3 linked regions of the Arabidopsis thaliana genome follow. The protein of the gene in region 2 interacts with the protein of the main gene of each other region in a pairwise test. Each region holds a gene or a part of one and is shown on either strand. Other genes may lie near its edges.

Region 1 (10,254 bases), on a different chromosome or scaffold from region 2:
TGATCCAACATTCTAATTCTGAGCAGTAGAAACAATGTTGAAGAGCATTCTAATTCTCTGCTGAACTAATTCTGAGCTTCAAAATTTGGAATCTTTAACGAATCACAAACATGTCAACACCACAATAAACTGATATTTCCTTCGAAATCACTCCAAGAATCATAACATTTGCAAGATTAGTTCATGTTAACACCTCAAAACTAGAACTATCACCAAGAATCAAAACATTACAACACAAGTATAAATCGTAGCCCAAATTCTGAGAACAAATTCAGCGAGACAAACGGAGTGCGGAATTAAAGGTTTAAGAGAGTATCGATTCCACTAACCTCCGCCTTCATTTCTGGCCTGAGAAGATCCGATACAACCCATTCTCGAACCGTTGAGAGTCGCGTTTGATTAGGTGAAAATTGGAAGTCGCTTCGAACAAGTAAAGTAAATGCCAGTACAAACTCGACCGTCGGGAACGAAACGGAGAAAGATAGCCGCCGATAAGAGTTTCACGGCGGGAGAATCGCCGGAGAAGTCTGCAAGAGTCGTCTTCAAGGTCAAATTCTGTTTTGACTGCCAAATTAGGCCATGAATGTTTTGTTGATTTTGGTGGGTTTTTGGATTTTGGATTGTGGCTTTTGGTTTTTTGTTTTTGATTTTATGAGTTTTTGATTTTGGTGGAGATTTTAGATTTTGCAAAATCTTAAATGGTAACTTTTCTAGTTTTTGATTTTTATATAATTATTATTTAGAAACGTTTTAAAATTATTTATTTAAAACTTTATTTTTATTTTTAAAAACAAAAAAAAAAGAGTTTACGATAGAATTTGTTGAAAATCCCAAAAAAGTGAATTTTGGATTTTAAGAACAAATGACTAGAATCTTTTAAATTTTGAATTCCCTATAATTTAGGAAATTAACTTTTTACAAAATCATGAATGGATGAAAAAGTGGATTTTGTAAAATCAAAAGCCAAAATCAACTTTAAAAACTAGTACCATTCAAGGCCTTAGTTTGTTAGAGAGAAGAAAGTGAAAACAGATCTCCCCGATTTTATTTATAGTCACTTTACTTGCCACGTCATATTATTCTGGATTAGTATATTATATCTGTTTGAATTAATCGTCAGCGTCTGTAGTCCAACGGTTAGGATAATTGCCTTCCAAGCAATAGACCCGGGTTCGACTCCCGGCAGACGCATTCTTTTTTATCATTTTAATCAGTTTAGAAAAACATAAAAGATAAAGACAAATGTGAATTGACGAATACGTCCTCGTCTTTATCGAAGCGAGCAAGGTAATAGATCAGAACGCGTTAACAGGGCAGTTTAGTAAATTTGGCCACACAAATGTTAGATTTCTTTGTGATAAAGACAGTACACAAGTCCTTTGTCTTTCTCGTTTGATATTTTCCAATTCCGCGTCTTTCTCTGTTGAAATCGAAAAAATTTTCAAAACAAAATCTAAGGAAAAAAGAGCAACAAGTTTCAAATCTCATTTGGGTTTTTCATTTTGAAAAGAAGGACCCATTTTTATCTCTCTCTTTGTTTTGTTTTCTCGAATCTGAAGGAGTAAAGTTAAAAGCTTTGAAGGAGAGAATCAATGGCGGGTTACAGAGCAGATGATGAATACGATTACCTATTCAAGGTTGTTCTGATAGGTGATTCAGGTGTGGGCAAATCCAATTTGCTTTCACGATTCACGAAGAACGAGTTTAGTCTCGAGTCAAAATCCACGATCGGGGTCGAGTTCGCGACTCGGAGTTTGAATGTTGATGATAAAGTCATCAAAGCTCAGATTTGGGATACTGCTGGTCAAGAAAGGTCTCATCTTTTTCAACCACATTGTTCATTTCTCGATCTGGTTTCTTATATTAGAACATTTTGATTGAAGTTTTGGGGTTTATGGTTTTGTTTGGTTGCCAAAGACAGTAAATTTTCAGCTTAGGTTAGATCTGTATCAATTGATTTAGATCCATTGGTATTGATCACTTTTATAAGAAGAGATCTGGATTAGTATGTGATTTTGACAACTTGGGTTTTGTGTAAGATAGGAGAATCCTATGATTATGATTATAAAGTTATCAGCTTTATCAAATTTCTTCTGTTGTTTTTGCTATTTTAGGTTTATGTGAGAGAGCTTGATTGGTTTCAGTAACTTCATTTCTACGATTCTTAGCTCTTCTTTCTCAGATTTCACCTAAGATTCTTCAATCATTATCGATTTCTTCTGTTGTTTTTGCTTAGTTTATTTATGTAAGAGAGCTTGATTGGTTTTAGTTGGATTCTTAAACTTTCATTTGAAGCTTTTACTTGGTCTTAATTTCAAAATTGAAAAGCTTCTTGCTTTGTATGATTTGCTATTCTCCATTTCTCTGATCAGTTTTGTAAAGCGTGCATAGTCTGAATTCGAAACTGTAAAGCTTCTTGCCTTTTTTGTGTTCCTGATGTTTCGGTTAACTTAATTCTCTGTTTCGTTGACTTTGTTTCAATAGGTACCGAGCCATCACTAGTGCGTATTACCGAGGAGCTGTTGGAGCGCTTCTTGTCTACGATGTAACCCGACACTCAACATTTGAAAACGTTGAGACTTGGCTGAAAGAACTCAGAAACCACACTGATCCAAACATTGTAGTCATGCTCGTGGGCAACAAATCTGACCTTCGCCATCTCGTGGCTGTTCAGACTGAAGATGCTAAGTCATTCGCCGAGAAAGAATCTCTCTACTTCATGGAAACCTCGGCTCTCGAAGCCACCAATGTTGAGAACGCTTTCGCCGAAGTCCTCACTCAGATTCACCACATTGTGAGCAAGAAGGCGATGGAAGCTGCGAGCGAATCCGCTAATGTTCCATCGAAAGGAGACAAGATCGATATCGGTAAAGATGTTTCAGCTGTGAAGAAAGGTGGATGCTGCTCGAACTAATCAGAGAGTAGAATTATTGTTAACAACCTAAGGATCGGTTTTTGTTAACGGTTCTATCGAATATGAAGATTGCTTTTAGGTTGAGTAATGCCCATTTGGTGTATTTCTGTTATTTATCTGATCTATCAATGTTATTGTTTGAAAATGCTATGTCAAATTTTCAGAACCCTAAATTATATTTATCTCAAACAATAGAATTGTTGAAAAGAAAAGATAAAAATAGTTTCTGCCTTTGATGATTTCAGTTTGGTTGAACATAATTTTCGGTTTGATTTCGTTTCACCGTATCGGTTCATTTTGGTTAAGTGGTACTAAAATCGATTTCTGTTAGGTTGGAATTTTGTTGTTTCGATTTTTTTGGTACAAAACCGAAGGATTACCAAAATATCCGGTTTAGTTTTGGTTTGTTTCGGTTAGCCTTTTTTAGCTCAATTTAGAGCTTGAAACTGAGCAATCGCCGGAGAAACTCTCACTCACAGTTATGGCTACGGCAATGGAAGAGCCAAGGAAGCTGAGAGGCCACAAATCAACTGCCACTTGTTGTATAGCTTCTCGTGACCGGCCTGGAATTGTTCTCACTTCCGGCGAGGTTTCTTAATCTCTAATTCAAACCTCTTTTTTCCGATGAATTTAGGTTTCGTTATTGTAGTTACTTCGCAAGATTCATAGTTTTCCGATCATACGATTATAGGATGGTTGCATTTGCTGGTTTGATTTGCGATGTAAAGATGTTCAATTCATCATCGATGTTGGAACAGAACCAGTTTCATCTCTTTGTTTCAAGACAGGTTTTGTCTCTTTGTGTTTTGTCTGTTTCTCTCTCTTTCAATTTCTTCTCTTTGTTGCAATTTGGTGATAACTTTTATTTGATTTTTCAGGTAATGAGAACATTCTCTATGCTTCTTGTGGAAACGAAATCAAGTCTTTCGATGTTCATACGGTAATTTAAAATGTTCAAACTTTGATTAACTAACTATAACCATATCCTTCACTTAGTTTTAAAGCTTCTCTCTTTATGCAATTTCATAGCTAAGTGCTACTTCTTGGAAGCCATTAGAGAGTTACAATTACAACAAAGATGAAGTTAACCAGGTAGAGATACTAAAAACTCGACTTTTCGAAAAAGTTATCATATTTACCTATGACATTGATGTTGACATCTTTTGATTTGTTAAAGGTAGTATGTAACGGAAGGTCGTCTTTTCTTGCTTCTGCAGATGATTCCGGCGATGTTAAGGTACACTCAATAGTTGTTCTTAATACTTAAAACTCTTAAAGATTACATAAACATGAATTTTGGTGGGACGGTTCTCGGTTTGATTAGTTTGCTTGTACACAGATCATCGACCTTGGTCAGAAATGCCTTTATAAAACCCTTAGAGCTGGTCACACAAGTGTATCCTTACTTCGTTTTTTTTACCCATTCTCGTCTATGAAACTCTACTAGCCTCGAAAAAATGTCTCAAATCAACACCTTAATGAGACATATAAGATATGTAGTTCTGTACAATTCATTCCATGGAGACCTTGGGAAGGTAACTAATATCTTATTGTGATTTGTTATTATATATACACATCTCTTCTAAAGTGTCTAATTTCTTTCAGTTATAACTGGTGGACTTGATTCAAAGCTTGTTTTATGGGATTTCTCAAAAGGTCGCTCGCAAAAGATTATAGACTTTGGTAAAGACTATGCCACTAATTCTGGTTTCTTTAGCCATATATATATGCAACAAATCTGATTTTGCAAGTCATTTCTGTAATCTTTCAGGATCTGATACAAATAATAACTCGGGACAATGCCTAAACCCTGCGTTTGTTCACTCAATAGCAATACCGGAAATGGACATGGTTGATAAGTTAGACAAGATATGTGCGGTTGCTAGAGGTGATGGAATTGTCAATTTGATCAATATCGAATCAGAACTTTCCCGAAAAGGAACATCATCAAAAGGAAGTAGCAGCAGCAGCAGCAACAATGTGGTCAAAAGGGTTTGTTTAGACTACTCTGTTGGTGGACACAATTCTGCTGTTTCTTGTGTAGCCTTTTCTCTGTTTCAGGAGAAAGGTAGATTCTTAATCTCTGGTGGTAATGATAAAACAGTCAAAATCTGGGATTGCTTTAAATGTCTTGATCCAAACAACAACAACAATAACAGTGATCTCCTCCATTTGAATATTAACCTAAGCAAGAAGGTAACTAAAAGCTCACATTGTTCTTTTTGCTCTTTTCTCTTTTGTCTGATTCTGAACATTTGTTGGTGTTTCTTAAACAGGTGAATTGGCTTTGCACGAATCAATCTGATTCTGAGAATCTTGTAGTGTGTGACACAACAAGAGTAGTTAAGGTTTACTCAATCTCTTAAATAGGCCTGATGGGTCCATAAAAATAGTCTAAAAGCTTCATCCTTTTTGACATTGTTATTAGTCTAAGAGATTCATTTTTATTTTTGACATTAGAATGGTTGCTTGATCTACAAGTTAGTTTATTTTTTTGTTTGATAACCAAATTATAAAGAATGATTACATTTAATTATTGAATTGTTAAATTCTTTTACTATCATCAACTTCATTACGTACTATTTGTTTGTTCTATACTTTTGTGTATTTAACTTCTCCCTTTCAGATTTTTCTTCTTGTCCCATTTACACAATTAAGATTTTGTTACGAAGTTGAAATCCAATTTATTTTTCAATAAATTATGTTATAATCATAACAAAAAATAACCTACCATTCTAACAATCTCAACTCAGAGCAACAAGTAATTTCTATTTGGATACTACGGAGACTTAGAAAATTAAGAGACTGGGGAAAAATAACAAATCAAACACTTCCCTCTTTAAGAGTAAAGAAGTCTCTAAACTGTGACAAACTCACAAGACCCTTCTTTCAAATTCCAATCTTTCCAACATTCCTCTTCTGTCCACTATGAAACCGCAGCAACCACAACCGCCATTGCTCCTCCTCCTCCTCCTCCCACTTCTCTTAACCACCGTCTCCTCCTATCCACTAAACCCAAAACAGCTCAAAGCTCTCCAATCACTCAACATCTCTACACCAACTAATGATCCCTGCAACAACAACAACAACCAATCCTCCTCCTCGTCCATAACTTGCGACGACGCTTCTCCTTACCGCCACATCACCTCAATCTCCTTCACAAACTGCTCCTCCACTCTATCTCTCCCCTCCAAAACACTCAAACCACTCTCAAAATCTCTCATCTCCCTCTCTTTCACTAACTGCCCTTCACTCTCTCCTCCATACCACCTCCCAATCTCCCTCCACTCCTTCTCCGCCGTCTCCTCCTTCCTCCAAAACAACCGTACCAAACTCTCCGGCCTCTTCCTCGCTCGTCTCAAAAACCTCAAAACCCTCTACATTTCCTCAACCCCAATCCAAACCTCTCGTCGTCTTTATGTCATCCTCGGAAACATGCATAAACTCACTTCCCTCACTATCTCAAACTCAAATCTCACTGGCCTTATCCCTAAATCTTTCCACTCAAATCTCAGATACATAGATTTATCAAACAACTCACTCAAAGGCTCAATACGCATTTCCATTACTCGTCTCAAAAACCTCAAGTCCTTAAACTTATCTCATAACTCTCTCTCTGGCCAAATACCAAACAAAATCAAAAGCTTAACTTTTCTAAAAAACTTATCTTTAGCTTCAAACAAACTATCAGGAACAATCCCAAATTCACTCTCATCTATCTCTGAACTTACACATTTGGATCTAAGTATGAATCAACTAAACGGAACCGTTCCAAGTTTCTTCTCCGAGATGAAGAACCTCAAACACTTGAATCTCGCTGATAACTCCTTCCATGGAGTTTTACCATTCAACGAAAGCTTCATCAAAAATCTCAACTTTTTCGAAATTGGAAGGAACAGTGAGCTCTGTTATAACAAAACTGTTCTCTCCTCGAACTTGAAATTGGAGGGTCTTGCTCCGTGTGATAAATACGGTTTTCCTTTATGGTCTCCGTCGCAAAAGGAGGAATCTTTGTCAGGAGAAAACGATTACGACGTTGAAGGAGGCAATGAGGAGAAGACGGAGAATCTGAAGACGAAGGAAGAAGAAGAAGAAGAACACAAAGGTTCCAACAAGACTCTGTTTGGTCTCGGCATTGGTCTTTTCTCGCTTGTGTTCTTAATCCTCTTCCTCTTTTATCTCGCTAAAAGGTGTCGTTTGATTTGAGAAGTCTGGGACGTAGTAATTTTGTATTGGTTGTGTATTCACCCTTCTCTCCTTCTAAATGTTTTATTTTATTTTCTCCTGTTTTAGTATTTATGAATTGTGGTTATGAGTGTATTTATGAATTGTGGTTATGAGTATCTTTAGTTTTATTTATACAAATTTGTTCAAAACATAGGGTTAGTTTAGGGACTGTGTAGTCCAGAGACATATTCATCTATAAGGACAATGAAATCAAAGGAGCTGCTTTTGATTGATTTTAGTTTTGATGATGACATTGAATAAAATAAGAAACATATCTCCAAGGTTCTTGGAAGATTTAGATTCTACCAAACTGATGTCAAAAGATTTACTACAACAAGAAATTCTTTAACATCCAAAGATAACAACTTAAAATAAGCTAGAATCAACAAAAATCTTTAAAGATCAAAACACTTTTTAACCAGTGATGTTCTGAGACTTGTTGAGGATAACTCCTTCATACTTGACCTGGAACCATTTCATTGCATCATCCTTGGTTACTCTGTGTTGAATACCAACACGAGTCTTGCATCTACGGCGGCGAGCCACACGATATCCTGGGCGTTCAAGGACAACGTAAAAGTCCATTCCGTAGATACCAGTGGAAGGATCGTACCTATATACACAAAATAAAACACATGAGAACAGTAAACATTTCAAATAAACCAGTTAATCAGTTTCGAATCTAACACCCTTGAAAAACAGTAAAGCATTCATCTTTTACTAGACCCAAATCTAGCATTCAACCAAAAACTAGTAAAGGGCTCATTTTTAATCCAATCCATACTTAAAATTCCACAAAAACTATAACACTCAGCGAAAACCAAAGTAGTCTGCATTCTGACTAAACCTCACAAAACCCCTAATTTAGAGACTTGACATTTAGATGCAACTGAAATTCTTTTAAACATATACAGATACATGAAGAATCCAAGTACCAAAACCATTATACAAAGCCATTAATGTAACTAATTCAAGGAAACTTTCATCGCAAAAGAAACAGAAAACTTACTTGATTCCAAGATCAATGTGCTCTTGGATACCAAATCCAAAGCAACCAGTGTCACTGAAGTTCCTCCTAAGAAGCTCATACTCCTTAACTTTCAAACCACTCTCAAGAAGCTGCATTGCCTTCTCACCTCTCACAGTCACATAACACGCAATCTTCTCATTACGCCTGATACCAAAAGACCTCACAGTGTACCTCGCTGTATAACAAAAACCACAACATACATCAGAATCAAGATCAACACAAAATCAAACTTAAATCCCTGAAAGATTTCAAATTCACATACCCTTAGAGAAGACAGGGGTTTGTCCACTGAGCTGCTCCAACACCTATACGAAATAACCAAAAACAATAATTCAAATCTAAATCACTAAATCAATGATGGATAATCGTAAAGGTCAGATTTTTACAAACAAAATCGAACCTTGGAGGCACGAGTGAGACGATCACCACTCTCACCAACGGAAATGTTGAGAACAAGTTTCTGAACCTTAATGTCCCTCATGGGGTTCGAGAGCTTCTTCTCCGACGCCTGAGAAACAAAACAAAGCCGAAAAATAAACCCATTGAACTAAACACATTTTCATTGAATCGATCTACAGAGACGAACGAAACAAATACCATTTTAAGGAGATCAATGTCGAGCTAAGAGACGAAGCAGTGTAGAGTTTGCAAAGCCCAAAACTGCGTCGAGTGCAAAGTGAGAGAACTTATATGGGTCGGTACTTAGGGTTTCTTGAATTAACGCAATGACGAAATTACCCCTTTGATTTATTAAAATGGTTTAATGGGCCAATATTATAAAGCCCATAAGAAAAGCATAATCTTAAGCATATATTTGGCCTTCTTAGTTACATAAGGCAAATAGTCTTTCATTCGCCGAATCACTTTATTATGTATGAGTTTTAAAATTAACGATAGATAATTTTTTATGAGACTGTGGAAACGCAAATCTTCATTTATTTTTGGAAGAACAGAATAAATAAGAGTTATTGAGAAAACAAATTTTTACAGTTAATGCCATGACAATGACAACAAAATCAAGAAGACTAGTTAAGACACTATGAAGTCTATCATCGTGGTCCAGAGAGCTCAATGGCTTCAATAATAAAGGACTGCTCTTCATGACCATTACTGTAGTTCCTAGAGACACTTGGAGCTCTAGCTTCATACCCTCCTTCACACTGTTCCACTAAACCTTCTAGTACCTTCAACACTTGAGACATCCTCGGTCTTAGATTCGGATGTGGCTGTGTACAAAGCAAAGCCAATTCCACTACTTCCTCCAACACCAAATCATCAAACTCTCCCTTCAAATCTCTGTCCACCATCTCTGCAAATCTCTTCTCTGCTTTCAATGTCCTTACCTACAAAAACCAATGGTTTAGATTTAAGTTTTGTCCTTATGGGTTCAGTCTAAGTTGAGTAAATGACTCATAGAATTTTTTTACTTACCCAGCTCAATATCATTCCTTTTCGAACTTGACCATTGCCTTGATCAATCATCTTATGACCTGTTATGAGTTCAAGGATTAGTACTCCGAATCCGAAAACATCGGTTTTCTCTGAGGACTGTCCAGTGGAAAGGTACTCGGGAGCGATGTGTCCAATGGTTCCTCGGACTGCGGTAGTGACATGTGAATCTCTCTGGTCTAAAAGCTTTGCTAGACCAAAATCGCCAACTATTGCTTCAAAGCTCTCATCAAGTAGAATATTTGCAGCTTTGACGTCTCTGTGAATAATCTTTGGATTGCATTGCTCGTGCAAGTAAACAAGTCCTCGAGCTGCGCCGAGTGCAATGCTTATCCTCCGATTCCAATCTAGAGACGGCTTTTCTCCATAATTGTCTGAAACATGTAATCTTATAAGGAACTTTTCGCGTTATATATCGAAAGAATAACAAAACAAGAAATGTGTTAATTGAAAACCTCTCAGACGATCAGCTACGCTTCCATTTGGCATGTACGGATACACAAGCATTCTCTCTTCCGGGGTCATACAGAATCCAAAGAGGCGTAAAAGGTTACGGTGAACAGCTAAGCCAATCATCTCTACTTCGGTTTGAAACTGAACTTCTCCTGTATAAATCGGATCTTTCAATCTTTTA
Region 2 (9,673 bases):
TCTTGAACCAACTGTGCCAGTTTTGCTCCGGACCATCCTGTAATTGATATAAACAATTACTTTAATCAAAGTTTTATACAGGCCAATACGTTCAAACACATAAGTTGTCTATGGGAAAAGGTACACCATGAGCATAACAAATATTCTTTGCAACATCAATTGTAGATTTTATACCTGGTAAGTTACTTGCATAAGATGATAAGTCAACAGAATCCGACATCTTGACTTTGCTGGCATGAATCTTCAGAATATCCAATCTCCCTTTCGCATTAGGGGGACGGACTCTTATCTGATAAGAAGATTATTTTTAACGGTCTATCCGGTACTCTTAAGTCTACAAAATTAATGCAAGATAAATTCAAATGGCTTGCGATTGTCGTTTGGTTGTTTATTAATTCGAATAACTGCTATCAAAAATTTGAGAACAGAAGATTTAGTGTCTAGATTTTGTTAATCACAAACCTTTCGATCAAATCGACCTGGACGTAGAAGAGCAGGGTCTAACAAATCTCTGCGATTGGTGGCACCCAAGAAAATCACACCTTTGCCTGTGTCAAAACCATCAAGCTCGATGAGTAGCTGGTTCAATGTGGTTTCTCTTTCTTGTGTGGCCGCATTGTACAACTGGTCTGAGTTTTCCTTGAAAATCCCTTGACGTCTAACGAATACCAAAATATAAAGAGCGATATCAGTTAAACTCCGTCTCAAGTTGAAAAATTATGCAAGGAAGGTAGTATATCAAAATCTAGATACAAGGGACGAAAATATTGTATACCGAGTTGCTAAGGCATCAATTTCATCGATGAAAATAACGGATGGCTTGTTTACCTGCACAAGGACATAGACATCATCAAATACTATTTAACATCTCTGCACAGAAATGTATAAATACACATATGTCCAATCACCTTAGCTCTTTTAAACAGATCTCTGATACGAGCTGACCCAACTCCAACAAGAACTTCGACGAATTCAGATCCTGCCATTTGGTAGAACGGTACACCAGCTTCCCCCGCAATGGCTTTTGCAACGAGTGTCTACGAAAGCAAATCAGGTTAGGTTAGGCTCTATATTGCTAGCAACTGGGTTGTCAAAAGATCCTTGTAGATAAAGCTAATCGACTACAATAAGAGGTAAACTGATCATTGACAATTGTATAAAACATTGAGATTTTATAAGATCTCAATCGAGAATAGGAATCAATCATAACTTGTTAATAGCAACTAAACATTCAAAACTTTTTTAAGACAAATTTCAGGTTTAAGTTGAAGGAGTAGTGATGATATTGCCAAACACTCAGCATACTCTGAAATACAACCATCAACCTCAGCAGAATTGATCTCAACAGGCACCACTGCATGTTTGATTATCTATAGTATTTCTTAGTATTCTAAAGTATAATGCTGCTACAAAAATACTATTCAATACTTAACAATAAATCTTTTCGATTGGCATTAGCATAGATGGTTACACATACCTTGCCACAACCAGGGGGACCCTCCAGAAGAACTCCATGGGGAGGTTTAATTCCCATTTTATCAAACAGGTCGGGATTCTTCAAGTACTTTACAAGCTATCAAGAAAATGAGATAATCGTAATGAGACTAAGAGGTTAGTAAGCTTCAGATCCCGGTTTCTCTCGAGCTTCCAAGATTCAACGAAATAATGTCATGCAACTTTATACTTGATGGGGTAGCAGTGAAGCCCTAATGGTAAGGGTTTTAGAGGCTAAGCTAACCAAGAATGCACATAATAAAACAAGAGATCCATACTCAGGGAAGAACTGGCGCAAGCATACTAAAGTAATTGCACGAGAAATTTGGTCAAGCGATACCTCTTGAAGTTCATCAACTGCTTCATCAATCCCTGCAACATCAGCGAATTTAACACCGGTTGAACCCTGAAATATAATCATTGAAGTCATAAAAAACTCAACCAAAAAAGTATTAGAACTGAAGAAACATGCATATAGGAGTAATGGTTAGAAACTTACATCAACACGAGCTTCTGCTTTAGACTGAGAAAAAGCAATCCCTTGCCATAAATCCTGCAAAAACATTTGAAGTGATTGAGGGCGCAAGCGATATCAATAGATTCTGCAAAAAAGTGTTGAGTGATTAAAGTATTATACCCATTTCCTAAAGTTCTTTGGTCTCCGTGACAGTGTGAAACGAACAAGAAGAACCATAGTCATGACAACAAGTAGGATTGGTTTGAGCATCTCCAGACTTGATGCTACACCACCAAATGTATAGAAATCAGAAATCCTTGAGAAGATGCCCCCATCGGCGAGAACATCAACAATGTAATCCCATGATTTTTCAAGAACACCAAGGAAGACGCCAACAAAAAGTTTGAGGAATGGCTTTGCTATAGGCCAAACAACATATACTGTAGTGACAAAGGCGAAACTAGTGACTGCAAAAACAGCTGAGGCTAAGAATCCTCCAACAACAACTGCGGCTGCAGCAATAACTGCTGTCACCATTCCCAGCTCAACCATCACTCTACTTGAAATAGAAGACGCAACAGGGTTTGGGAAGTCCGCCACTTTTCCAACCCAAGACTGCAAACATATAAACTCAGTCAATAACAGAACAAAATAGATCTGTTTGTCAACCTAGTGAATAGGTTATGAAAAATTCCTAACCAACACAATACAAAAATATTGAGGACATTAGATTATATAATCTAGTAGATAAGATCTAAATGAACAAAAGCGTGATCACCGTCATGTGCCTTTCAATTTCGTACTGCGGACCCGTGTATTCTTTCAGAAGAGCTTGAGCTTCTCCAACTTCAAGCTTCATTGACCTATCAAGAAACAGATCAATAAGAAAATCATACCAATATTCTCCATACATCAAAATTAAAACTTTTATTCTTCTTCTTAATCCTAGTAATTCACCATTTGGTTCTCTGTAAGCTCTTGACTCCAGGAATCTCCTTAAGATCAACAATAAAACCTCTATAGCCACTCGTATAAGAAACACCAGAAACTTCCTTCGATGTAAGCAGCTTAACTTTATCATTCTCCATAGCTTTTCTAAAATCTTCCAAACTCATCTTTGGTAAATCTTTCACATTTTTCTCAAACTCCTCTTCTTCAGATAACTCTGGCCCAAAAACTTGCTCCGGAACATAAAGCTTTCCTTTGTACTCCCTCAAAATATCACTCAAATAAACAGACTCTTCGCTTTTGTCTGTCTCTGTTTTCTTCTTCGAATCAAACTTCCTTTTGATAAATTCAAACGCACCCGTCGCCGCATTGGTGCCTTTGCTTAAATCTTCTCTCTCCTTCAGATTATACAGCTTATCACCAACTCGGTAACGAGGTTCCACTTGGCTAGGATTCTCCTTCAAAACCCTAGTTACGAAATCGTCAGCAGCAGGGGAATTGTTCGTCTCGCCGGAGCTAGATGACCCAGTTTTCAATTCGCACAAAACTGTAAACGACCGACGCAGAATTGGAGCTCTCCATCGAGTTTGAGTTCTCGCGGAGAAACTCGATGTAGTCGCGTGTTTCAATATCGATCTCTTGGGGTTTTCTGGGATTGAGAACCGAGTACCGAGTGAGAAAACATTGTCTATAGACGCCATTTTACGACGATAACCATGTACAGAAGAAAAAGAAGCTTCACTAGAATCGCATTGCGAAATTTGAATCTCTCTTCGTTCTGGATAAGAAAATAGAGCAATCGGAGGTTTATTCAATCTCAGGAGGTTTTTGTTCTGTTAGCTCTAAATTACAACAATTCGACCCGACTTCGAAACCCGGTTTCTGTTCCGGGTACATTGTTTGTTCACTAAAATAATTTATTTAGCTCTAGTCGGCCACCTTCGCTGCATCACACACACTTAAGTCCAAACTCCGTTGTAACGTTATCACTATGTCCAAACAAAACATCCTTTTGCTTTTACACGTCGTTTTGCTTTCCCTTTAACCAAAAATAAACTCTTTATCCCAACTAGTGAACACTTAAATCATCGCTACCAAACATCTCCACCGAGAAATGTCGAAGTCTTGTTCAAACCTCGCTTCATGCGCCGTCGCCACGCTCTTCATAGTCTTCTTAATCATCGCCGCACTTACTGTTTATCTCACAGTCTTTAGACCGAGAGATCCTGAGATCTCCGTCACTAGCGTCAAGGTTCCTTCATTCTCCGTCGCTAATAGCTCCGTTAGTTTCACCTTTTCTCAATTCTCCGCCGTTAGAAACCCTAACCGCGCAGCTTTCTCACACTACAACAATGTAATCCAGCTCTTTTACTATGGAAACCGGATCGGTTATACCTTCGTACCTGCTGGTGAGATCGAATCGGGTCGAACCAAGCGTATGTTAGCTACTTTCTCCGTTCAGTCGTTTCCTCTCGCGGCGGCCTCTAGTTCTCAAATCTCCGCCGCCCAATTTCAAAATTCGGATCGGTCCGGGTCAACAGTGGAAATAGAGTCGAAGCTGGAGATGGCGGGTCGGGTTCGGGTTCTCGGTTTGTTTACTCACCGAATCGCGGCTAAATGTAATTGTAGGATCGCGATTTCCTCGAGTGATGGTTCCATCGTAGCCGTCCGTTGTTAATATTAAAAAACAATTGTAAAAGTGACATGGTTATTTTTCAAAAATACATGTATGTGAAGTGAAACCTCTTGGGTTCTTTTCTGAATCCATCAAGTTAGAAAATTGCAAATATTAATACAAAGCTATTGTACTTTTAGATTTTGTACGTATACTAAATTACAACTTAACACGAAATTTTCGGTTGCCAATTGTAATAGCCTTAACATTAGTCTACATAGATATGCATGCTTTCCATATTCTTTGTTTGGATTAACGTTTTCTGTATAGTAAATACACTTATAGCCATAACGTAGGGCCGGGTATTCGGGTATGCGGGTCGGTTCGGGTAATACCCGATCGGGTACGGGTATACTGTTCTAGAATCCAATAGAGTAAATAGAAAACTTCGGTGGTTCGGTTCTAATCGGGTTTGGGTTGGTTCGGGTATAGAATTTTAGAACCGTTAAATACTCGAAAAAAACGGGTATCCTTCGGATTCATGTATTTTATATCCAAATACCCAAAAATTTACCCAAATACCCGAAATTGTACCAAATACCCGAAATTTGTACCCAAATAGTCGATAATTTTACCCAAATACCCGAAATTATACCCAAATAGTCGAAAATTTTACCCAAATATCTGAATTTTACCCGAATAACCGAAATTTTGTCCAAATATCCAAAACATTTACGAATATTTTGCATATATAAAATATTTAGTATTAAGTATTTAAATATAGGTACATTTAGTTTTTAGTAATTATTATTGGATATTTGGATATAAATGTATTTGGTTCAAATATTAAATATAAAATAAATTTTTATATGTATAAATCTATGAATAAGTATATGTAATTTCGGATAAGTTGATACCCTTTCGGGTATCGGGTTTGGGTCGGCTATTATCCTATATCCACGGGTACAACAATCTAAAACCCAATAGGGTAAATAGCTAATATACGTACCCGCCCCAAACCGGTTTTTCGAATCGGTTTCGGTTCGAGTTTTCAGGTACGGTTTTTTTGCCAAGGCCTACCATAACCTATATTTATTATTTCTTATTTAAGACATATACTTATGTTTTCTTATCTATCTTTTTTTACCGCTTTCTCCGTCTTCTTCTTATTTACTCTACATAATGAATCAATTTTATGATGTTTACATTGCTAAACAAAGTCTATATAATGTGATATGCGCATAAACAAAATATGCTTATGTTTTGCTTATGTTATGTATATATTTTGCTTATGTTATGCATGTATCTATATCTTTATAATTTACTATCATCTAATCTTTTCATATTTCTATAAAGATTGCACTTTCTTCTCTCCTTCGTGATCTTCGAGAGAACTTGTTCTTTAATTAATAAAAATTTCTTTAATTACTTTTATGATGTGGAACAAAAACAAGCTAAATATGTAAACATTGCAAACGCAATCGTTTGGACCATCGTCTATCTACTACATGTGGATCCAATTATGTTTGTAAGTCTTTTTTTTTATTGGGACTCCTACCCTCATCACTAATGGGATTGGAGTCTTGATCATGGGGATCTATTTGGCCGCATATATTAGATTTTGCAAGCACTCTACGCAGCGATTAGTGATTATCATTTTGGTACTCGAGGTGGTATCTGTAACTACATTTGCCACGTTGGCTTTAGGTTTCATCGAATCTTTGGGTCTTCGGTGATTTGTTATTGTGGACGTCTGTTGCGTTTTCTCCGGTGTCTGTATTGGTAAGTTTAGTTTATGAATATCAAAGATTAATAAATATCCTCGCATTACTAATACGAAAAAAAATTAACAACGAAATAATGATAAACGCAAGTGAAAGTTGTAAGAACTAAGAGCGTCGAACATATGTCGTTCTTGGTAGGGTTTGCAATGTTTGCAAACGCAACCGTTTGGACCGTCATCTCTTTACTGCCGGTTGATCGTATCATGTTTGTAAGTCTTCTGTTCTTTTAAATTGTTAGTTCACTTACATTAAATTTACCTAATTTTGATTTTTCAGTATTGAAATTTGATTTCTTTGTTCTTCAGGTTTCCTTTGTGTTATGCACAGTACTTGGCTTAGTCCAATTAGTTGCGTATGCCGTGTATTACAGATCGACTCAGATGTTTGATGAGCTCGGAATACAATTATGGTTGTGTGTTTGCTTTTGGTTTTGAGTTATGTGCGTGATTTGTTATAGATATTTGTATTTTTGTGTCGATCAATAATGAATGAGTCACATTTACAGACATAAATATCAGAAAAATAGAACAAATACACACAAATGCAAGAAAAAAAACTCCCAACGATTGAAAACTAACGATTTAATAAATATAGTTTCTATGATAAATTGATAGTACAAGAATTTTCCTCAATTTCTTCTAAAGTTTGGGTACTTGTCAGCCTTTCTCTTCTTTTTTTTTATGTGTTTGTTTATATGAATATAAGTAAGCAAAAAAGGCAAAATAAAAATTAAAAAAGGAGAATTATGAAGAGGAGCCATTGGAGGAGGAATTGTAGCCGTAGGGGTTATTGCTTGCCCAATTCCATAGATCCCTACACATCTCCTCTATCCCATTCTTAGCCCTGCATTGACACCATACCAAACAAAACAAAAAACTGCCTAAATACCAAACAATTACATCGAAATGTTGATGCATTGATTTTATGTTTGTCATTCATATACTTATTGCTATTATGTTAACAAAATGAAATGAGCTTACTTCCAATTTAGTTCGCGCTCTGCTTTTTCCGTTGAGGCGTAAACAACTTCAGCGTCTCCAGGACGTCGTCCAGCCATCACCAAAGGGATTTTCTAATTGGTAATAAATCATAAAGTTCAAAATCAGTTCTCAAAATATGGGTATCGAAAGGCAAATAACTGGCTCACTTGGTAAGAGTATTGAGCTAGTAAAACAAATCAACTAAGGTTTACCTTTCCGGATGCTTTTTCAAAGGCAGCGACCATTTCTAGGACCGATGTTCCATTACCCGTTCCAAGATTGTATACCTCACAACCTGACCATAACAAGTATTAAGCCTGACCAATGGCGAATAATGATGAGAGTAGAAACATCAAAGAGTTTTAAGATAATCCTTACTGATTTTGAGATCATCTAGCTTACGCAGAGCAGCTATGTGTCCATCTGCTAAATCCATGACATGAATGTAATCTCTAACCTGAAAGAAACACAACAAAGATGAATAATATCTGTTAATATAATTCACAATTCGTTGTATTATCTCCCATACTCCATAATATATCACAATTTAAGATTGTAATGTAAATCTGTCAAATGGTTTGTTGTCTATAAGACATCATAAGTCACATACCCCTGTACCATCCTTTGTCTTGTAGTCGGTTCCAAAGACAGTAAGGTGAGGTCTCCGGCCAACTGCAACTTGTTGGACATAAGGCATGAGATTGTTGGGAACTCCAAGAGGATCTTCACCAATGTAACCACTAGGATGTGCACCAACAGGGTTGAAGTATCTAAGCAATATGATCTTCCATTCCGAGTCAGAACGATGTACATCCCGGCAAATCTCTTCGATAAAAAGCTTACACAGCACAAGCAAATAATCTCAGTCAGATTCATTTCCTGATTATTATCATTCATCACCACTATCACAAGGTGGGCTTGGGTCAATACTCAGGCTAAAGGTGCTACCTTTGTACGGCCATATGGGTTAGTGGCAGAAATTGGTGACTCCTCAGTGCAAGGAACCTCCTTAGGCCAGCCATAGACAGTAGCTGATGATGAAAATACAAGCTGGAAAACAGAGTAGTAAAAGCCAATAATGAGATCAAACAAGACAAACTCAAAAAGGGAATGCATGTGGTGGCAATTAGAAAAAGAGAGAGGAAGGAAAAAAATTACATTTTTGCAGCCGTATTGAGCCATAACCTCCAAAAGAGTAACAGTGCCAACAATGTTATTATTATAATAGAGCAAAGGCTTCTCCACACTCTCACCTACTGCTTTAAGTCCAGCAAAGTGTATCACTGCATCAAACCTATCATAATTCCACGTTTCCATTAAACTTCGACCCCTCAATTATATCAACAGCCTAATCATAAAAAAGAAAAGCTTTTTTTACTTTGTTTCTGAGAATATCTTCTCAAGCGCAGGCCTGTCTCGGAGATCCACCTGCAGGTACAAAAACAAAGATTTCAGAAACTAAAATGACTACATAGATTCTGATTTCTGCAATGGCAGACTATAACTTTATTGTTCTGTGTTTAATAAAATGATAAAATTCTGATTAGCCCTCCCCAAGAACATCCCAATTTCACACACAGACAGATCAACCTTGTCAATATTTAATTATAGCACTAAGGCTAAATATTAAATTACTCTTTCACATGGCATCATCAATACTTAATTCATGATTATGTGTACACACAAAGAAAACTTAGCCACATAGTGTACACAAATATTAACCAGAACCATATGAAAACGATGATACGAAATTCTTCAAGCACACGTTTCCTAAACCAAATCAGCACCGAGAATTTTTCATTTCCGCGGAGAGAGAGAACGAAAACAGAACCTGGTGGAAGGAGAGGCGGTTTCCGTTTTCGCCGGCGAGTTTCTTCACGCGCTGAAGCGAAGCAGCAGAGGAATTGTCGTAATTGTCAACAACGACGGCGGAGTAACCACCTTCAAGCAGTTGAAGAACAGTATGACTTCCGATATAGCCAGCGCCGCCGGTAACCAAAACACTCTTCGCCATCGTTAAGAGAGAAAACAAAATATCTTAGAAGTTTCGAAATTCTGGAGAGCGTTTTGTTTTTTATTGCGTTTTGGGATTGAGCTAAAAAGGGTTTTATAGAAGAAGCGGTTTTGACTGTATGATTTACTTTCTGATTTCTACGTTTCTTCGAGGGAGACAGAGAGAAAAATGAAGAGGAAATAATTGCTACGTGGCAGGATTTGGTTTGGTTGCGAATATACCGGAATGTTGTGAATTGTCTTAATTACCCTTTGACGTTTTTGTTAATGGAAGTGTATTTATATAGTTGATCTTCTTTTTTTGGTAACAAATGTTATTTTATTAGGCTCAATTAAGATTTAACAAAGCGAATGGATAAATTTGGATGGATTTGTAAGCCTA
Region 3 (12,433 bases), on a different chromosome or scaffold from region 2:
AATAAATGGTTGTTTTCTTATATTGTCCCTATATATAGCAGGGGGTACGAACTTGCCTATGTGTTTAAATGTGAGCCGTATGTTGCTTCGACATCATGGGGCCAAATCAACATCATTGTCAAATAATGGCTACAGTTTTTTTGAAGATTTTTGAGGTTTCATTCTTCCATATCAGTATGTGTTTTTAACCATCCTAATGTTATGTGTGTTTATAATAACATTAGGATTGTAAAACAAATTAAGAGTTGTGAATTATATCATTTTTCTGAACATTACTTATTAAAATTAAAATTTGTCTCTCAAATTATTGACAAAAATATAAAGTAACCATGTATGTATTAACTAAACCATGTTATTTAGTGGTTTATGATATTTTGTTGTTGTGTTTGTACTTTGTAGTTCGGTTTAAATCCGTGTTTTCATATTATTAAAAAGAAAACTCATATTTATTAAATATAATAATATTTAAATTTGAAAAAAAGATCAAGTAGAATTTCACGTACTATATAAATATTATTAATATTGTAAGGATTATGAAAAATGAATAAATATGAATTGAACTAATAAGTGACTACAGATGTAAATCTCTCACCAATAGAAAAGGGTGTTTGTATTAATCTAATTTCATGAAAAGAAAGAAAATAAAAAAAGCTATCCTGTCTGTCGTATTGTTTGGATGAATATGTGATTAAACACGTTGATGTGATATATCCAACGATGACGTCTACAAGCTGGAGAATCCTAGGTGACTAGATCCTTAATACTCCAGTTTCCAAAACTAGATCATCTTCATCTTTCCGTTTTTGACCTATTGGCTAGATAAGTGAGGTAAAACATTTTTTCATCTTATTTTTTTTTCTAACCTTTTAAAAAATTTAATGAATTTACTGGAAATGTTTTTCTTATATATTTTGTAATTTAATGATTTCAAACGGTAATTATTTAATTAACAACAAATGCATCCACATAAGCTATTTAGATGGTGGTTCAACTTGATTTGTTTGGGTTGAATTTAATTCGAATGTGTTATGTGTCTTGACTTTATTTCTTCAAATTCTATAAGTAGATAAACACAATTATCCCATATATTAATGATGTACAAGTGCAAGTAAATGATTTTTATATACAAATATTTAGTTTTTTTTTTTAGACATGTATAAACTTGTAATTTATATTAGCACTGGACACATTATAAACACAGGATTGCCTACAATCATTTATTTAAACTTACATTCACTTTTTCTTTTTAATCTTACATTCATTTATATACCACATATAGAAAAAATGAAAAAAAACTCACGTTATTGTTCGTGTACAGCTTCAGGCCTTCAGCATATAATAAAATGAGAAGATATAAGAGGTCAAAGTTTCTCTTCAGTCTTAATAAGTAACGGTTTAATAACATACGCTCCCGATACCAAATCTGGTTATGAACAATGTTTACTCTCGTATGATTCGTGAAGACAACACATTCGCGCCATTCGCTCATAGGACGTTTCTTCACGGTTCAATTGGTGCCATCATTTATTGATTATTAGAACCTGAAAGAAAAAGAAAAAAGAACCACTAAGCTACAAGGCTATCCTTACACGTCTAACGTAATCATTAGTTTGGAAATTGGAATTAAAGGGACACGCTAGAACAAATTGGAGTGAAGATATTGTCCCTCTGAATTGTTTCCCTTTACGGTAAAAAATCATTAAAATAGTATATATATAAAAAGCGTGAAAAGAAGAAGGAACGTACAAAAGTTGAGAGAATATCCTACAGATGAAGTTAGAAATGGTGGGCTGAGGCACACGTGCTAGGTTATGTCCGTACTGTCGCCATTGTACGAACGAGACGAAAGTGGAATTTGTATCTTCTGATAACTATTAGAACAAACCACAAAAGCCCATGTCTCTACTCTGATAATAATAATATTGGTGCCTTCCACAAAGGCCAAGCTACTTTATATACAGACCTACACACTTTCATTATTTGGTTCATAAAAGGTATAAGAGAATAATTATTTTTTTCAACTAAAAATTAATAACTTATTTTTATGCTTTTACTATATACATGAAAAAGGACCCCCCCCCCCCTACCCACCCAAATATGAAATTAAATTCTTATTCTAGTCTAATAAACATATAACGGATGATTTAGACAATAACTTTATTACAATTTTAAAATGCAATAACACGTGATTGACCAATAAACCTAGCAATATATGGATCGTATATTGTAAAAATTTGGACTAGTTCGCTGATGGGTAGCCCAATGGGTGAAGTGGCCCAAAGAAAACTCGCCGTCTTATAATAAATGTCGCTATTTATTATACTTGGCGGCGATAACCTAATTCGAAAGCTGTGAAACTTGGAGAAATGGGTAAACAATTTGCTCTTAATATTCTTCGTCTACAGTTTTTCTAGTGAATGATTCATTATTTTGTTCAATATCTTTCTGTGATGAGTAGGTGCATACAAGTGTGTTTCGGAGCTATGGAGAAAGGTGGTTTCGTTATTAATCTTAAAATGTACTAACCCTAGAGAATATAGACTAGACTTTTCATCAAATTAGGAGTTTTCTATATGAAGCATACTATCACAAGTCTAGTAGGCAAGTTAATAATAATCCAAAGGAATCTCTATGGTCTCTACTTGTAATTTTATTCTAGCTACATCACAGCTTGACCTGGATCTAGGGGGCTTTTGTAACTAGAGAGGAAAAATCAAAGAGGGACACAAATAAAAAACAGAGAGAAAAACAGAGTGTGCTCAATTGTTTGTGTTCTTTAACTTTTCATGCTACAAATCTTTAAATCCAAGAGAGTGAGTTAAAAACAATAATGAAGAGTATGAAATCAGGCTACCGAAATTGATACTTTGACTAGGTAAAAGAAAGAAGGTTAGAGTGAGTTGATATAAATGTAATGTGAATGAAACAATAATAATCCTTTATATACAGAGAAACAATATGTCAAATAAAGACTCCCTAATACAATTTGCTGAAGCCTGAAGTGACCCCTGAGTCTCCCAATCGCGGGAACAACACCTCTTTCTCAATCAAAACCTGGAGGTGCGATGTGATTTTGCGGAATGAAACCCACACAAAGGGTGCGCAACAAAATGCGTATGCGAAAACTGACAAGGCTCTGACCACTCCATCAGGGTACCAAGGGAAGGCCATGACAAGGAGAGTGCCGAGAATTCCTAGCCATGGAGTGAGAACAGGGAGCGTTGGGAGGAGGAGAGTGTTGATTGAAATGGAAGAGAGAGCAAAAGAAGCCATCAAGTAGAGCGACCAGCCGATGAGTGGGTGGATAGTGTGAGGGATGGTGAAGAATGGGAAGATGTAGGCTGCAACTACAGAGAGAAGCGCGATCAACTTAAAACCAGCTTGGATCGTTGTTAAGTTGCGGTCAGAGCGGCGATAACATAGCTTGGTTATGTTAGGACGAGCTAGTCGTGTAACCACTATGATTCCAAGGTAAAACATTGCTTGGATTATAACCAAAGGCATTTCGGCTGAGTACCTATTGCAAGATCATTATTATTAGCCACTATACAGAGCTTAAGAGGGAGTTGTCATCATTTAAAAATTTAAAATTACCCTATAGTGGCGCGACGCTGCTCGTGCCATGAGAAACCTAGTGGAAGAACAGGCCATGACCACCAGTACCATGGCTTTAACCAAACAGCTCCCGGGAATGTAATCACACTGTTTGGTCCACAGGGTATGTTCCATCTTAGCTTAAGATCTGAGAGTACAAGTTAATACATTAGCCAACATTAATCATTATAGACAAAATCTTGAGAGAAGAATTAAGAGACTACTTACAGAAATAAGAAGCGTCCATTTGGTAGCCTAAGGGAAGTCTCAAGTGACCATTAAGTACAGATCCGTTACTCGGAGGACTAAAGAGAGGTTGGTCAAGAAGATCAGAGAAGTAACTGACAAGAAAACCTTGATCAGCTCCATCAGGATTCTTTCTTCCAACTTGTAGCTCATGGAGCATGTCCTTGAACACTTCCACTGATGGCTGCAACACGAAGAGACCAGTGTGGAAGATACAAGGGTTAATGAAGACCGCACAGAAGCGCCCACACTGGAACAACTCGTCGGCTTTCTTAAGAAAGAGGTTATCGGCATCTAGCATGACCACACGGTCGTAATCAGACAAAGCCCAAGCGTAGAGCTTGTTTAGAGTAAGCTTGAATCTACTGTTGAAGTTGGTCTGTCTCCTGTATGGATTATCCACATTTTCAACTCTCACCACTTTAGCTCCATCTTCCTCTTCCCTGCTCACAAAGAGGCTCATTAGTATTCACACACACAAACATCGTACAAACAAACTAGTTATGCATGCATGTTTTTTAGAATAAATATATTCTTATGAATCATATCAGAAAATGAAGTTCTTGTGTAAAGTCCTAATAATGTTGCTTTCAATTATTATAGGTTTATCTTTCTTATCGGATGTGCTCTAAAGGACACAAAAATTATTACTATAGGCTATGAGGTTGAGATGTAGACGTTATTGCATGATCTATGCAGCAGATTGGCCGGTCATAAATTAGTAATTTGACACAAAAAAACAGCTCTTTCTTGTTTCCAAAAGGTTTCAATCAAAACGCTAAAGTCAAACAACTCTCCTTAAGTTAATATGATTTCAATTCAATGTAATAAGATTATTGCTATCGATCGCTTTTAGTTGCCATATTCTTTATCTCTACGCCTGTTTCAACTTTTTTGGGTGCATAATGAATTGTTGACTTAATCTATGGTTTATTTCTAAATTTTTGAAAACTGGATTGTTTTGGTGGTTAATACCATCCGGACCACTTAGTTTTAGTCTAATCTGTCCATAGAAACTCAAATGATTAATTCACCTACATGCCTATTAAATATGTTTTTAAAAATTGTTGTTTAACTTATAAAAATACTAAACTAATCAAAAACTTAATATGAAAAAAACAAAAGAAGTTTTTCAAAACTAGATGACACCTAACGAGTTTTTGAGAATTGATTTTTTAAAACACAAATATATTTCTATACAGATAGGCGCGTTGTCATATACTATATAGGACCAATAGGAGAGGATATAATGGAGTTAAATGCGTTGGTCTAAGTGTCTGTCAACCATAAATACTCAAACATTTGTTTCTCTCCAACTTTTACTTACACCAAAATAGTAAGGTCAAAAAATGAACTCAAAAAATTCCATTTTAATTCGTGAAGCCAATCAAGAGAAAGAAAACGATAGAATAAAAAAAACTAATATGCTTTTGTCTCGATATTTTCTATGAATAAGGTGGTCGTTGTCTCATTCGAACAATTTTCTAAGCTAACTTCAATTTCTAAGAGAAAAAAGTGAATCAAGACTCAAGAGTCCAACCAGGGAAGGACGTAGAGGAAAGGGAAGGTGTATCTGTCTGTGCCACTGCCAACTATAACTTCTTAAAATATTTGTTTCTATAAGCTAAACTGAAATATATTTGTTTTCATATTAGCTTATATATTCAAGAATACAACTAGACAAGGACCAATTCTTATCTTTACTTTTTTCTTTCCCTTTGCTTAAATAAGTAATGTTGATATATATAGAAAAATACCATTTGAATTTGTTTTTAGAACTCCTGCTGTTTCACGCACGATGCCATTATAGTGAAAATTACGAATGTTTTGTAAAAAAATTTTTAAAAATTAATAGCAATTGTATATTCCAGCCTAATAATAGTTTGGTGGTCAAGTTTCGAAACGACAGCGTTTAAGATGGTCGGAAGAGAGACTTACAAGGTTTGAACCCATCGGAGAGGAACGTCGAGAGAAGCGATGACGACGAGATCAGCTTCCACGTGAAGACTTCTCAACGATCTGATCAAAACACGTGTCGCAACGTAGAACTCGTAGTCTCTTGGCGTCCCCATGTACATCATCGTTGCGTATGCGTTCTTATGCTCCGGTCGCCGCGTCTTCAAACCTCGATCTTGAACCGTCACCACCGCGTTTGCGGTATCTATCGCCGTTTCTTGCGGTGGTTGCAGCAGCAGCAGCTGTCTCTCTCGATACGCCGTCGTTTCGATTATCATAAAAGATAGAACCAAAGACAAGAACACAAAGCCTCTCTGCAAATCCATTCTTGATTTCTCTGTACAATGTCCGAATTGCTAAAACAAATCAAATGAAAAGAATTTATCTAGAATCTGAAACTTTTAAAGAATGTGTAAACGCATACGCGTATATATATATATACAGAGAATGTATCAAAGAGAAAGGGAGGTTTCTGGGAGACTGTGAAGGGTTAAAAAGGTATAATGGCGACTGGCCAATGACAACATTATTTTAACAATTAGAAGAAAACGAAAAAGTTGAGCATATATTCCTAGGTTGCTCTAATTTTACTTTAAACAAGTTAATTACTGTATTAGTTGCTAATGACTAAAACAAGTTAATTACTGTTAGTTTACATATTTCCAAAGCAAATCTAACACCGTTCATTTTTCTTTCATATTGATCGAATTCTACATTCTTATTTGTTTCCAAAAAAATTTGAAAATATAAAAGATTTTGATTCCAGATTTTTAAGGGTTTAAAAGAGAAATCTTTTAGTCACATTTTTTGGACTAAGAGAGATTTGTAACGCTGTTAGTTTGTAACGCACTAAAAGATGATGAATTAAGGTCTGCTTAATTTTTAAAATATTAATAAATTAAAAGGGGAGTTATGAAAGTAACCGTATTTTTATTTTATGTATTTTGTTGGCAGCTAATATTATGGAAATGGTCAATTTAGGACCATGTGACTGAGCCCGTTGTTCTCTTGGCAAGTGGTGTCTGGTGTGTAATCTCATCCCAGTTCATTATTTTTTATATTTCCACTACATATTTCTTTAATTCTTTTACTAATCTCCACCAAAATTCAAAGTCAAATCTGTCAAGAAACTAACATTGTGTGTTAAAAAGGTAAAATATATTGCATATTGGACGATCAGTGGATTGAAATACTGGAAATGAGAGGAATTGAAATAGGATTAGTAAATTTAATAATTAGAGTAATTAAGAGGAGAACTTTTTTCCTGTATCTCTTAAACTGGAAAAAAATTCCAACAAAAGTGAATGGAAAATCCGAAAATAAGGAAAAAATTATACTATACTGTATAGAAATACTCAGATTGGACCAAGAATAGTGAGAAAATACACAAATTTCTTGTACAGATGTTTTGAGTCACATCCACAAGACTGTACGGTAAGAAGCCCTATATTAGTCAGAGGAGAGAGGAGGAAAGTAATGTTCTTACGTTTGATTCACAATTACTTAGCAAAATACAAAGTACAATATGCATAATAGTATAATTTTATTGGAAAGATCGTTTCAGACACTAGAATTATACCTAACTACATTAACTGTTATCGTTTTCTAATAGTCGTCCTTGTCACGTTGGTTTTGTACCACTTATTTTGAGGTTAACAGGAAAATAAAATTCATTGTATGTTTTAGGCAGATATCCAACGTTGACTGTACGTACCCAAATATGCACATTTATGGAGTAATACATAACAACCCATCTTGTATTTTTTTATTAAGTATATGGCAATATGGATATTTATATTGTACAACATATCAAGATTACGTGTTGTATCATTTCATCATGCAATAGGCTGTATTATATTTCCTCTATCCCATTTTCTTAAAAACGTTTTGGCTAAAATCACAAAGATTAAGAAACAACAAGTATTTTCTCATTTATAAAAAATCAACCAATATAACAAATTAAAATACTGCACATTTTAAATAGTTATAAACTACTAAATTATAAATAAAAACTAGGAACAAAACTAATAAATGGAACAAAAAACATCTTTATCGTATATTAGAACAGAAATTTGGGGGAAGAAAGTAGAGAAAAGGGAAAGAGGAAGGAAAGGGTCGAGTAAACGTTGACTGATTAAACAAGACACGACTCCTCTTATCTTGTGTTGAAACCGCGTCGGTCCAAATTGTCTGAAATTGTCTTTTAGATGCTTACGGATCCAACCAAGTGTCTCCTTTTTCTGTTGACTTCTACTTATGTACATTTTTGTTTTATTGTTTAAAGACCATGTTGACATTATTTCTTTTTATTAAGTATCGAAAGGTTGCTAGTTGCTACAATGAGTTTCATGAGCCAATCTTTGCGATTGCGATGATGAAAAACAGGAGTACCTACTATTTCAAGGCTTCAATAAAACACAACTTAATCGAAATCTTCATATGACAAAAGTTAACTCTTACAATTAAATGCAAACTTGATTACCTTTTTTCAAGTATCCACATAACACATTAGGCTAGAGAATTACTTAATCTCACATCTGAATTCGGTCCAAACAAAACCCATTGTTATCAAACGGACAATATTCAGGTATTCAAATTCGAGTTTGGTCCAACCGTTAAGATCTTAGCATGCAAACTATTTTCAAGATGGATTCCAAAGAAAGCCCAATAAGTTTGACAAAACGCCTGAAAGAGAAGATTATGACTCTATTTCTCCGAGATTGTTGGATATATGTTTAGTCCAACATTCTTTAATCTTGTCTTCTTAATCTCTTTAGAAATCGATTGTTTTGTGGGTCAAGATTAATGTGTAGCTTTAGCCGAAGCCTTATGGACATTTTAAGGCCCATTAACATATGGAAATGGGTCAAAATTGAACAATTTATAAAATAAGATGTCAAAAGTAGAATTTACGAGGGAATTGGGGACGAAGAAAAAGAAAGAAGAATGGACTTGGGAATCAAGCAAGGGTCAAAGCGTCAACAAGCGAGCTAAAGCCGAGAGCAGCGGTGTCAAAAAACCTCATCCGCCGCAAAACCCCTAAAACCCTCCGGCACCGGAACTTTCTCTTTCTTCTATCACTTTCCTTTGACTGTCTCTATCGAGATTTCAATCACTGAATCGATTGAATCTTAAGCAATGATGGGCCAAGAAGCAGCTCCGACGGGACCACCCAACAGAGAACTCTACGCGCTCCTGAATTTATCACCGGAGGCCTCCGACGAAGAAATCAGAAAAGCTTATCGTCAATGGGCTCAAGTTTATCACCCTGACAAGATCCAATCTCCTCAGGTTTGCCCGAATCAATCTTCTTTGTTTTCAATTCGCCTCTGATCTTCGTGATATCAAATTTGGATACTTTACATAAAGGAAGTAGCTTTTTCGAGTGGGCTGATTTAGAATTTGTGTGGTTAGATGAAGGAAGTAGCTACGGAGAATTTCCAACGGATATGTGAAGCATATGAGATATTGTCGGATGAGACTAAGAGGCTAATATATGACTTATATGGCATGGAAGGATTGAATTCAGGATTAGAGCTTGGTCCTAGGTTGAGTAAGGCTGATGAGATCAAAGAGGAGCTTGAAAGGATTAAGAGGAGAAATGAAGAAGCTAAGAAGATGGCTCATTTTCAACCCACTGGTTCTATTCTCTTCAATTTGTCTGTCCCACATTTTTTAGTAGGCGATGGCATCATGAGAGGGTACTTATTTTCTTCTTCTTTTCAAGTTTTGATGTATTTTTGGTAGCATGGTTCTTGATTTGGGTTCCTAATTTGACCTTGGAGACACTTACTAGTCTGGAAAGTTTTGATAGCAAATGGTTTATTGAGAAAAGATTTGGTCTTGTTTCTGTTTTCTTCTTATCTAGTTGTGTGTATTAGTTATCTTGTGTGAGAATTTTGGTTGCTCAACACTAGCCCTGACTACTTTGTTTCATTTGAAGTAGTTTTTGATGCCTTTTCGTTTCTTTTGTGCTTGTATCTGCAACTTTCAGAATGGTTATGGCTAGTCAAGTGCAGTCTCAGTTGTCAAAAGATGATGCAATTGCCATTGGTGGAAATTTGGCGGCCAATGAAAAGTCTGGTGGCGGAGTCGCTACTGCCATACTGAGACGTCAGATTTCTCCAGTGTCATCCATAGAGTTTGTCGCTTCAACGGGTTTGCAGTCGCTTATTGGAGTGCAGACAACACGGTAGGCTCATGAGTTTTTCCAGTTATTTCTGGGCATCTTTTATGGTTTCGGTTTATGTGACTCTTATGGGTTTCTTGTTGGGGCAGTCAGTTAACCATACATTCAACTGCCACAATCAATATTTCAAAGTCTTTGAGTGATGGCTCCATCAATCTTACCAACACGTGGACTCGACAGCTTTCAGAAACTTCAAGCGGAAATGTAAGTTCGCTCTGTTGTTTTGATTAAACCTTCTAAGATGGCGAGAAAGCAGTTTTCTCGATTTTAAAATAGTTCATTTCATCCAGATTGAACTGGCACTGGGTATGCGATCAGCAATTACAGTTGGATGGAAAAAGAGAGACGAGAATGTATCTGCTGCTGGTGACTTTAAGGTAGGCTGAGTACCAAATTGCATTCTGACTGTTCTTACCTCGACCACCTTTCTTACTTTCCCTAGCTCTAATCTTGCTATTACTAGATTGAATCTGGTGGACTCGGAGCATCAGCTCGTTATACTCGTAAACTTTCATCCAAATCTCATGGTCGCATTGTGGGTAGAATCGGAAGGTATGTTTTATTGACAATCCCGAGCAACCTAATGTATGATGTGCGAGAGGATAGAAATCATTTTTTAAGTTGTCTTTACATGTGTGGCGCAATCATTGTTCTCATTTTACTTTGGAATTTTTTTTTTAACTTATTCAGCAATGCTCTTGAGATTGAGCTCGGTGGTGGAAGGCAAATTTCTGAGTTCAGTACAGTAAGAATGATGTATACAGTAGGACTCAAGGTAAACTACTCTTTAAAACTTTCGGAGCCATCTTAGCCATTATGCAATCTGCTTATTTCCGGTACTCTTATACTTTGTTTGTAGGGTATTTTCTGGAAAGTAGAGCTACACCGTGGTAGCCAAAAGCTGATTGTTCCCGTGAGTGTTACTTTCTTCCTTTCTTTTCTTGTGGTGTCATGTCTGCTGTCTTCGGATAAGAACCGAACAGATTGTGTCTTAATCTGTGGAGTAGAATATATTAAAAAAGCATAAACCAATAGAACCAAAGACCAATCCTAAAAGCCTAGGGATGGATTCTAGAGCATTATCCTTGACTCTCTGAAACCTTTACCCAACTCAATTATGGACAAAGACAAACATCCGTATTACTCTGGGGAAGTCTTTCACTTTTGACACCTTCATGATGATTATCTTTGAAACGTGCAGATTCTACTCTCCGCACATTTAGCTCCAGTATTTGCAACTGGAGCATTCATTGTTCCAACATCTCTTTACTTTTTGTTAAAGGTGAGTGATTGGACCCTCTAAATATAATCTACTTTTGGTCTATTGTTATAAGCTGTTTACCTTATTAAACATTTTCACTGTTCCACGCAGAAATTTGTGGTGAAGCCATATTTGCTTAAAAGAGAAAAACAAAAGGCCTTGGAGAATATGGAGAAAACTTGGGGCCAGGTGATTGTTACTTCCGAGTTTGGTAGCCAAGCGAGATTCCTTGTAATTGTAGATGATCTTATTATGAATATTTGTTTAAACTGTGGGTTTTAGGTTGGGGAAGCAAGGGCAAGGGCTGAGAAAGCCCAGCAATTGCTACAAACCGTAGCCACAAGGAAGAAAAACCGTCAAGTTGAAACAGATGGGCTCATAGTAACGAAAGCGTTGTATGGTGACCCAAAAGCAATAGAGAGAAGAAACGAAGGAGTGGAAGGACTGGATTCGGGAGTCATTGACGTGACAGTGCCGATGAACTTCCTTGTGAGTGACTCAGGGCAGCTCAAGCTCCATGAGGGAGTGAAGAAATCAGGGATCATGGGTTTTTGCGATCCCTGTCCCGGCCAACCTAAGCAGTTATACATTGCATACACTTACCATTCTCAGCCATTTGAGGTAATAGTTGGTGACTATGAAGAGCTGAGTATACCACAAGAAGGCCAGTGAGAGTATGAAAACGGTACTCTCCACTTTGTTGTTTTTATTAATACGAACGAATGGCTTCTTTCGGGGATTTGTAACTCTTTTACACATTCATTTCTTTCTCAATAAATTAAGCATTCTTGTTTGCCAAAAAATTTATGTAATCGTGTGGTTATTTAGATATCGATTTTTTTTTAGATATCAATTTTCTTTTACATATAATTTCTTGTCTGAAATATTTAAATTTTGGAATTGGGTAACATGACGTTTGAGTTTCTATTGATGGAAGCAAGTTTTATTTATTTATATAAGGAAAAAGTTTGTTTTAAATAATAAGAGTAAATAACAAAAAAATGTGACATTTTAGCTGTTTTCTTTGGGAGAAAGAGAAACATTGAAGCCTTGAAGGTATTACCATTTTCTCTTTAATTGTTTTGTATATTGGTATAATGCATATTGTTTATGAAAATAGTTCTTGAGTGAGAATATTATATATGAAGATTTTATTTTATTATGCAGTTTCTCTCAAGAACTATTTT

Evidence for each region.
Region 1: the proteins of AT4G23930 (region 2) and RLP55 interact in a protein complementation assay, tested with the Arabidopsis thaliana proteins (one large-scale study listed by BioGRID).
Region 3: the proteins of AT4G23930 (region 2) and PGSIP7 interact in a protein complementation assay, tested with the Arabidopsis thaliana proteins (one large-scale study listed by BioGRID).

Annotation. Positions count from the first base shown.
Region 1 is NC_003076.8:18,557,726-18,567,979, forward strand, and holds RLP55 (receptor like protein 55), read left to right. Parts: upstream 1-5,607; 5' UTR 5,608-5,842; coding exon 5,843-7,120; 3' UTR 7,121-7,196; downstream 7,197-10,254. Other genes in the region: AT5G45740 (Ubiquitin domain-containing protein), read right to left, coding at 330-372; RABA1c (RAB GTPase homolog A1C), read left to right, coding at 1,593-1,813, 2,485-2,914; AT5G45760 (Transducin/WD40 repeat-like superfamily protein), read left to right, coding at 3,396-3,503, 3,606-3,702, 3,793-3,854, 3,944-4,006, 4,092-4,151, 4,254-4,310, 4,407-4,449, 4,520-4,597 and 2 more; AT5G45775 (Ribosomal L5P family protein), read right to left, coding at 7,556-7,754, 8,151-8,346, 8,434-8,476, 8,572-8,679, 8,769-8,771; AT5G45780 (Leucine-rich repeat protein kinase family protein), read right to left, coding at 9,221-9,514, 9,603-9,994, 10,076-10,254. UniProt on the Arabidopsis thaliana protein: Involved in plant defense.
Region 2 is NC_003075.7:12,431,035-12,440,707, reverse strand, and holds AT4G23930 (Late embryogenesis abundant (LEA) hydroxyproline-rich glycoprotein family), read left to right. Parts: upstream 1-3,880; 5' UTR 3,881-4,013; coding exon 4,014-4,577; 3' UTR 4,578-4,708; downstream 4,709-9,673. Other genes in the region: FtsHi1 (FtsH extracellular protease family), read right to left, coding at 1-37, 175-289, 463-658, 776-828, 909-1,037, 1,478-1,573, 1,835-1,900, 1,994-2,047 and 3 more; UGE2 (UDP-D-glucose/UDP-D-galactose 4-epimerase 2), read right to left, coding at 7,042-7,141, 7,279-7,370, 7,491-7,573, 7,657-7,735, 7,889-8,116, 8,227-8,328, 8,437-8,572, 8,657-8,706 and 1 more.
Region 3 is NC_003071.7:15,007,949-15,020,381, forward strand, and holds PGSIP7 (Nucleotide-diphospho-sugar transferases superfamily protein), read right to left. Parts: upstream 6,337-12,433; 5' UTR 6,123-6,336; coding exon 5,779-6,122; coding exon of another isoform or gene 5,775-5,778; exon of another isoform or gene 4,304-5,774; coding exon of another isoform or gene 4,284-4,303; coding exon 3,823-4,283; intron 3,743-3,822; coding exon 3,595-3,742; coding exon of another isoform or gene 3,591-3,594; exon of another isoform or gene 3,518-3,590; coding exon 2,977-3,517; 3' UTR 2,759-2,976; downstream 1-2,758. Other genes in the region: OWL1 (DNAJ heat shock N-terminal domain-containing protein), read left to right, coding at 8,935-9,087, 9,211-9,497, 9,791-9,988, 10,075-10,189, 10,276-10,362, 10,449-10,537, 10,676-10,760, 10,845-10,898 and 3 more.